Xenopus tropicalis: one gene and its partner. The protein of the gene in region 1 purifies or fractionates together with the protein of each later gene. This does not show direct contact. Links are inferred from orthologs where the notes say so. Each region holds a gene or a part of one and is shown on either strand. Other genes may lie near its edges.

Region 1 (4,521 bases):
ATGTTACACTGTGCCATGTGGAGCTGGGGGATGTTACACTGTGCCATGTGGAGCTGGGGGATGTTACACTGTGCCACGTGGAGCTGGGGCATACACTGTGCCACATGGAGCTGGGGGATGTTACACTGTGCCATGAGGAGCTGGGGGATGTTACACTGTGCCATGTGGAGCTGGGGATGTTACACTGTGCCACTTAGTGCTGGGGGATGTTACACTGTGCCATGTGGAGCTGGGGCATACACTGTGCCACATGGAGCTGGGGGATGTTACACTGTGCCATGAGGAGCTGGGGGATGTTACACTGTGCCACTTAGTGCTGGGGGATGTTACACTGTGCCATGTGGAGCTGGGGGATGTTACACTGTGCCACGTGGAGCTGGGGCATACACTGTGCCACATGGAGCTGGGGGATGTTACACTGTGCCATGTGGAGCTGGGGGATGTTACACTGTGCCACTTAGTGCTGGGGGATGTTACACTGTGCCATGTGGAGCTGGGGGATGTTACACTGTGCCATGTGGAGCTGGGGGATGTTACACTGTGCCACTTAGTGCTGGGGGATGTTACACTGTGCCACGTAAAGCTGGGGCATACACTGTGCCACTTGATGCTGGGGGTTGTTACACTACCTTTTGATTCTTGAGGGGGGGGTTTACTGTGTTTTTATGCAGGTGGAAAAGCAGACTCATTTGCCATTAGTGTTAAGGCCTTTTTTTCCCAAATTCTACCAGTATGCAATTTAACCTTGGCTAGTGAGGGTTAAACAAATAACACATGGACAGGCTGTTATTTCTAAAGATTTATTGAAGCACTGGCTGCACATTGCCTGGAAATAAAAAAAGCTTTTTTCTTGGGAATGTAAAAACAGTATTGCGGCACAAGATCTTTGCTATTACATTGTCTGTAAACTAGACAGAAGGAAGCTCGCTGTGTGACCTTCTCAAGGGCTGTCACTCAAACCAAACTCCTAATTAGCAGTTAGCTTATCCCTATCTTGTGCTCTCCAATTTACTGCAAAAGGCACTTGAAAGCTGGTTTTCTTCAAACTTTAAAACAGGTAACAGTATTACGGTGCTGGTAAAGGTTCTCCGCTTTGCTTTGGATATTTCAGTTTCATTCCAGGTCATCATGGTGCTGAGAGCTTTCATTAATAACCTGCCAAAAGAAACCGACCACTGTTAGTACACACCAATGAATAACCCTCTTGGCTAACAACCAAGGCATCAGTACATGAAAACACAGTCATAACAGTCACACTCTTTTAGTTTCAGGCCAATTAAAATTCACATTGAAGCTTGAGGTGGGAAATATTGGATCACATTGACAGGATAAGGCCGGCGAGAGAGCCGCATCAATGAGTCCTGACTGAATCTTTAAAACCTGCTGATAAATATCTGGATGATTTTCGGCCAGATATCGGTTGGGTAGACCCATCTGAGGAGCCAGTGCACGGGCCGATAAGCTGCCTACTCGGCCCATTGGCAGCTTTTAGGTGGCAGTAGCCTGGAAGTGCAGAAGGCTGGAGGGCTGCCAATGATATAAAGCGTTGACTGTATTGCTGAAGGTGTTGCTAAGACTCTTTACACTTCTGCCAGGATTTTATATTGGCAAGTTATCTGCGTTATGTTATTGCAAATTGTTTTGTAAACTAAATACTATGTAAATAAAACTTCATCTTTTCTGAATGCCATTATTTTGTATTTATCAAACAAGTCTCTTGTTGATTCACTTTCTCTTACCCATCTTATTCAGCTATACTGGAACACAGACACACACATGCAGAATTTGTATCACAAAAGGTGAAGACAAACCTGTCCATCTCTTGTCTCCACAGTCTTGATGAGCAGAGTGCGTTTGGAATGGCTTTCCACTGGGTGCGAATCAAGGTTGGTTTCTGCAAGACAAAGCAACTATCATTCTGCAAACAATACAAATACACAATATACAATACACCTGCACTATGGAATGTAGTCCCTTAGTGCTATACCTCATCCCTTAGTGCTATACCTCATCCCTTAGTGAAGTAAATTGCCAGTCGGAAAGCATTTAAGGGATATTAGTAACTGTAGGTGTCTAATCTTTCCGTGTGTTATCAGCCTAAATGTCTGTAAATTATATATGTATTATATTATATTGGTATAATAGAATTGGCGAAGGCCCCCATGTCAGGACATGAGCTCATTTGGTTGCCCATCGGACTTATCTCAAAAGCTACATATATTAATCACTTTCCTTATACTGGCACATCTAAAAAAGCTGTCAGCCTTCCTTCACCAAAAAAAAACTATATTGGTTGGACAGACAATATATTGATATATATTGGTGGGACAACAATAAATGGAGTAAAATGCAAGGACAATTTATGGGATGTGAAATTGAGGTTTCAATACCGCTGCTAATGACATCCTGTGTAATTGCATGGAAATTGCCCTTAGTCTGATGGCAAGTGACAAAGAACCCAAATATACCTTGGCATCCGTTGGTAATGGAAACAAATCCAAGGTATTCCTAGACACTTTGTCATCCTTAGGAGATGCAACAAAATGCCATTGGCCTAAGGGCAATAACATGCGGTGCGTGTCACCCACATTTGTTGTGGCTACCAAACACCAGAAGATGCTTTGCCACAGGGGATATTGAGAATCACCTCTGCTAGTTGTTTAATCGCTCACCAATCAGTGATTATGTGATCTAAGTGATGTAGCAAAGCAATTACCATATACACTATGGCAATGTATTTTCTGGCATTTTGTAGCAGCAACAAAACGCACTGGTGCCATAGAACTAAAAAAGTTAAGCTTGGTACAACTTCTTTTTAATTGTCTACTTTGTTTGAGCGCACTTCTTATTCTCCCTGTGTGTCATTGCTCTTAATTGGGCAGGTCACCATTAGGTTATCATTTAGTATGTTATAGAATGGCCTATTCTTAGAAACTTTTTAATTAGTCTTCATTTTTTAAAGTTTTAGAATTATTTTCATTCCTCTTCTGCTTCTTCCCAACTTTCAAATGGGGGTCACCAACTCAAGCAGCCAAAAAATGACTGCTCTGCGAGACTACAAATGTATTGGTTTTGTTACTTTGTTACTTATCTTTCTATTCAGTCCCTCTCCTATCACCACTGCCTTGCTGCTAGGGTAAATTGGACCCTAGCAACCAGATATCCACTGAAGATCCAAATTAAAGAGCTGCTAAACAAAATGCTAAATAATTCAAAAATACAAAAAAAGACCAGTACTACCCCTTTAAGAAAATTACATAGGGGTTTATGAAAACACCCAGGATATTCCTCTTTACCCCCATCCTTTGTATGCAACAAGGACTCCTAAATGGATGCTGGAGAAGGAAGGGTACCACTTAGTACAGGCAGTTCTGAGTTCTTACTTAGTTTGGTGTTTATAATGAGCATTAGTCTGCCGATTAAATATAAAGGCTCTTTACTGCACCGTCATTAGTTTTTTTGCATTTTACCCCATCTGACATCACTTGCATATGCCTTATGACCGTCATTTCACATTTGCTTGAATGGGAAACGAGTCCAAGACAGGAAGGCTGTTCTGACTGAGCCAGTCATTCGACAAGCTGATCAAATACCCAGACCCATTCATGTCATAGTTGTTTTTAACAATGCAAGTACTGATGCTCAAACTAGTTAGTATACAGATATAACATCCTGCTAACTTCCCTTTATAAAGAATAAAATTAAAAGAGATTTACCTCTAAGGCTCATTGAAGAAAAGGAATGTACGGGAACAGTAATTCTGCAAAACAGAACATATTTATGACAGTTCACACACCGTTCAGCCTAATTCAGTATAGAAATGCCAACATTAATGCTTAGTGACAGCTTTTCAAACCTACCTGCTCTCTTCTCCCTCCAGGAGTTTCCTGTAAGTAGCAATCTCTATATCAAGGGCCATCTTAACATTGAGCAGATCCTGGTACTCTCGCAAGTGCCGAGCCATCTCTTCCTTCATGTTGTGGATCTCCTCTTGCAGGCGCTGAATAGTGTCCTGATAATTAGCAGCTTCTCCGGCAAAATTCTCCTCCATTTCTCGCATTTGGCGTTCGTAAGACTCATTCTGCAAGGGAATACAACAGTATGCCAGTAAGTCAGTGAGCATGGGCAGATAACGGATTCCTAGGCGAGTTTTAGACCACGAACAACAACAACAATAAAAATATTGGAAAAGCAAAATATAAAATAAGGCTTAACAAGTACATTATGGAGTTGCTCTTCTTTATCTTCCTATTCAAAAATCTGAAAACATTTAAATCAATTGATTTAGGGTGGGGGCAAATGTTCAATGAACAAAAAACATTCACAGGACATTTGAAACCCTGCTCGAGCACAGTATTAAAATATGTGCGTAATAAGGGCATTTAAGCATCCAGTTACAATGCTTGTAAAGGAGGCATTTCTTAACAAAACTGGAGAGAGATGCCAACTTCATGCATAAAACATGGCTTCATATGTCTCCAAAAGGGAGGGCTAACCCCAGGGTTCAGGTCTGTGGATGAC
Region 2 (3,823 bases), on another chromosome or scaffold:
ATACATGTGAATCACTGGGTTGAGATATGGAGTTGGTGGCCTCTGGAGCGGTGTAAGTATGATGGGCCCAGACCATATGTTGCAATTGAGTCCTTGGGCCTTTAGTATTGCAACTGGGAGACATATCCTTTGGGCCAACTTCTAAAGGAGTTGATGGGTTTTGTGTGGTTAAATGGTTATTCCTAATAGACATCTTCTTTCACTCGTGTGGGGGAGGGAGCATGCAACAGATTTTAAGCAATCCATTGTATTTATTTTCTTTGCAGACCTGTCCCAGAGCCTTCTTTACCTCATCCTGATGATGTCCAAGATGATCCTGGACCAATGTCCTTCGAGGATGTGGGGGTAAGGTTCCAGTTCTGCATTGCTGCAGTGGAACAGCTGGAGCGAGAACGCGATGAACTTATTCGAGAACTGACACTGCTTCGAGAACCTTCTTTTGAAGCAGTTAGGAGGGCACATGAAGAGGTACTGCAGGCATATGGGCAGAAGGCTCGGACAGAGCTAGAAAGGGACGGTCTGCAGGAGGAAGTTCGTACTGTAAGATGCAAGCTCTTTAATGTGACCAGAGAATATGTGGCATGCCAATTTCAGCTGGAGAATCAGCGTGAAGAGCTAAAAGACAAAGAAGTACAGCGTGGAGGCCTTGAGACTCTTGCTTCCCGTTTGGCAGAGGAGCTCACCCAGCTCAGGACTGCTTTTGTGGAGCAAAAAGAAGGAGCTCAACAGCAACTAAGGAGTGGGCCCACCAGGCATACATCACAGGCACTTCAGGATAGGCGGCGCCTCTCTGCAGAGCTACAAAGTCTCACAGAGGAGCAACACAGTTCTCTAGAGGAGCAGTATGAACCCAGATTACTTCGGCTTCTGGAGCATAGCGAAAGAGGGGTAGCAGCACTTAGGGAAGCACAGGAGGAGCTGCAGAAGCTGCGTGATGAACTCAGACCACTACAAGGGGAGGCAAGTAAGATGAGAGTGCAGAGGAATAGCCTTCAGGAACAGATTGTTCTCCTGAAGAGGAAAAGGGAAGAGGAAGTTCATCTTTATCGGGTATGGATACCCAAAATTCACAGGTAGGGTGATGGGAGGGATTTTAGAAGGTGGGTCCTGACTTGGGAAACAGGAGGGTTATAGTCAGTGTAACCCCTTTTTGGCTGCAAAACAAGGACCAGCTAGAATGGCTATAGAACATGGGATACACTGGACTCTAACACACAGGTGGGTGTTTGCTATGTAGAAGGATCAAGGGGGAGGTATTGCAACTACAACTCAGTTATGCTTTGTGCAAAAATAAGAAATAAAGGACACCAGAGAGCTCTTGCAGCAAACTCAAACAGAACTGGTTTTATTGTCCAACACAATTGATCCACAGAGATATGCAGAAAATACTTACAATACAGATGTAGAGCAATGAGTTGGCAGGTTCAATGCAGAGCAATCTTTCTCTTAATAATGATACACAACTGTTGAGAGTAGGAAGGATAGTAACAAAGTCCTTTGGATTTCCACCTTAAGTGTTCCGGATCCTATACAGCAGACCTGAATTAGGAAGAACAAACATAAGCCTGATACCCTTGTCACTACTGAGGTCTCTTTACTAAGGCAGCAGAGCCTGTAAAGGAGAACACTCCTAGCTATCTTTCCTAGTTGGAGCAAAGAAGCTGCTCTTGGTAGCTAATTTTGATCTGACTCACTTTCCTAGAAAGTGCTATAACAAAAGATATCCTGCACTTACTAAATTATTGTTTACGGGGTCCCTGTTATCCAACTTCTCTAGATAGGATGTTGTCTCTAGGGCCAAACATTTCTGGGTTGTGTGGATCCCAGGCTTTCTGAAATCACATCCACACAGATGAACTGCTTAAGGCCAAAGAGGAAGATTCACTCCTAACCAAACACTATATGAAAGTGTGGCAGGAAGTAGTCATACCTATGGGCCAATAATATAGAAATAGGTAAATAGGAAAGATAGATACATGTGATGACAATGGAAATAAGGAAGATACAGTTTAAAGCTATAGAGATTGTTAATCCTATAAATCCCTACAGTATTGCTAGACTACACTGTAGAAACATTCAACTAAATATCAATTGAATTGATAATTTCATGCAATTAGTGAAAACTAGTAGTTCCAGATTTGAAGTTATGGTGCAACACAATAGGACAAGAGTTACGTGTATATTGGTATAAGGTACTATTTCTAGTTAGCAATGGCAGCTAAGGACACAATACTTCTACTTTATAAGCTACAGAACTGCCTCTACACAGAGCCTCGACCATGACCCTACTACTACTACTGTTCAGTAAATCACAGGGAGCTTAGATGCTAAATTTCTCCAATGCTTGAGGTCTAAGAAGGTTTCTGATGGCTGTGTTCCCTATCTATATATCAAAGAGAAATACTGAGTGCATAGCAGGGCAATTTCTTACTTTTTAAATGTTTGTAAAGCCTCATGTTCTAATTTGACCATAATCTCTAAGGACAATGTAACATGGGGCACATTTTAGTTACTTTTCTCGACATTATACCTCCTTTATATTTTCAAGAACATACATGTCATCTAAACGTCTGCAAGGTTCTCAGCAATGTAGTACATTTAGATGCACTTCAGGTTTACTGATTGTTTTCAAGTACTCTATTTAAGAGATGTGCTGCATATGCTTTGTTATCTAAACTCAGTATTGGCAATAAACCTGATTTGCCTGCCATGACCTCTAGGCAGATTACTGTCACTGACCCTGTGCTTTCTGCACAAACAATAAATGATTAGTCTATGCTGTTTGCCTTATATCTTAGTCTGTTTCCATACCATAACTGACTTTGGGATACTTATTGTACAGCGCTGCGGAATATGTTGGCGCTTTATAAATAAATGTTAATAATAATAATAATTGTTAGAGAGAATGCTAAGAAACATGATATTGCAACTGTTGGCTATCCCCATTATACTGAAAGATGCAAATAACAGTTTATAAATTCAACTTTAAATCCTTTCTTTGGAAACCTAAGTCCTTATTCTAGTGCTTTGCTATTTATGGGTTCCATTTCCCAGCTGTGATATACATGTTGGATAATGCCCTTCAATTACTTTCTTTGGTAAGCTGATTCTTGTTATTGATTGGTGTTCCAGAATGGAGTATGATGGTTCTTCATTAAATTATGCAGTGAACACTTGGTTGGACATTACTTGCAGGCAGCTTTATAACTCTCAATTGAGCCACATCATTTGTTTATGAGTTGTTTGGTGTAAAAGTCCCCATGGTGCCTGGGTGAGTCTGGATTCCACCGTTACTACTCTACTAGTTTTTGTTGTGTTTTTTTTTTTTTTTTTTGGAATGAAAGGAATGTCTGTGCACTTACCAAGTTGTGGCCTCTTTGCCCTGCTATCAACTCAGTTGCTTGAATGCAATTGTAGACAGTCTCTCACATTCTAAAAGAAAATGTGTCCACCACCAACAACTCTTATACTGTCTACTCTGCTGGCCAGTTGCCTTTCCATTGTAGCTAACAAAACACACAATCCTAGTGTCAGTCCAGAAATATGTACTGTGTGTATTTGTTAGTATAGTTGTGGGTTTGTGCCTAACCATTGTGAGATGGTATACACAAGATGGAGTGCACCTGAGATAGACAGCAGAGTTTTTTTAACACACACATAACCATGTCCTGGGTACAACCATTCAATACAATAAGTAAGAACTGGGACAAAACATACAAATGAACTGTAATGTATGTTGGCATAGCTTTCACTATGCACAGAACCACAATTATCTGCCATTTTGTACATAATATGTAAATACTATGAGTTTCAGTACACATTA

What was found.
Region 2: the proteins of vim (region 1) and sync purify together in Homo sapiens (affinity purification with mass spectrometry; 3 studies listed by BioGRID and IntAct, counting the BioPlex papers as one, with this or other methods). This does not show direct contact. The link is inferred for Xenopus tropicalis from reciprocal best matches to the Homo sapiens genes VIM and SYNC.

Annotation. Positions count from the first base shown.
Region 1 is NC_030682.2:28,573,439-28,577,959, forward strand, and holds the end of vim (vimentin), read right to left. Parts: intron 4,082-4,521; coding exon 3,861-4,081; intron 3,761-3,860; coding exon 3,717-3,760; intron 1,895-3,716; coding exon 1,812-1,894; intron 1,156-1,811; coding exon 1,114-1,155; 3' UTR 787-1,113; downstream 1-786. UniProt on the Homo sapiens protein: Vimentins are class-III intermediate filaments found in various non-epithelial cells, especially mesenchymal cells. Vimentin is attached to the nucleus, endoplasmic reticulum, and mitochondria, either laterally or terminally.
Region 2 is NC_030678.2:90,286,625-90,290,447, forward strand, and holds part of sync (syncoilin), read left to right. Parts: intron 1-266; coding exon 267-1,050; intron 1,051-3,823.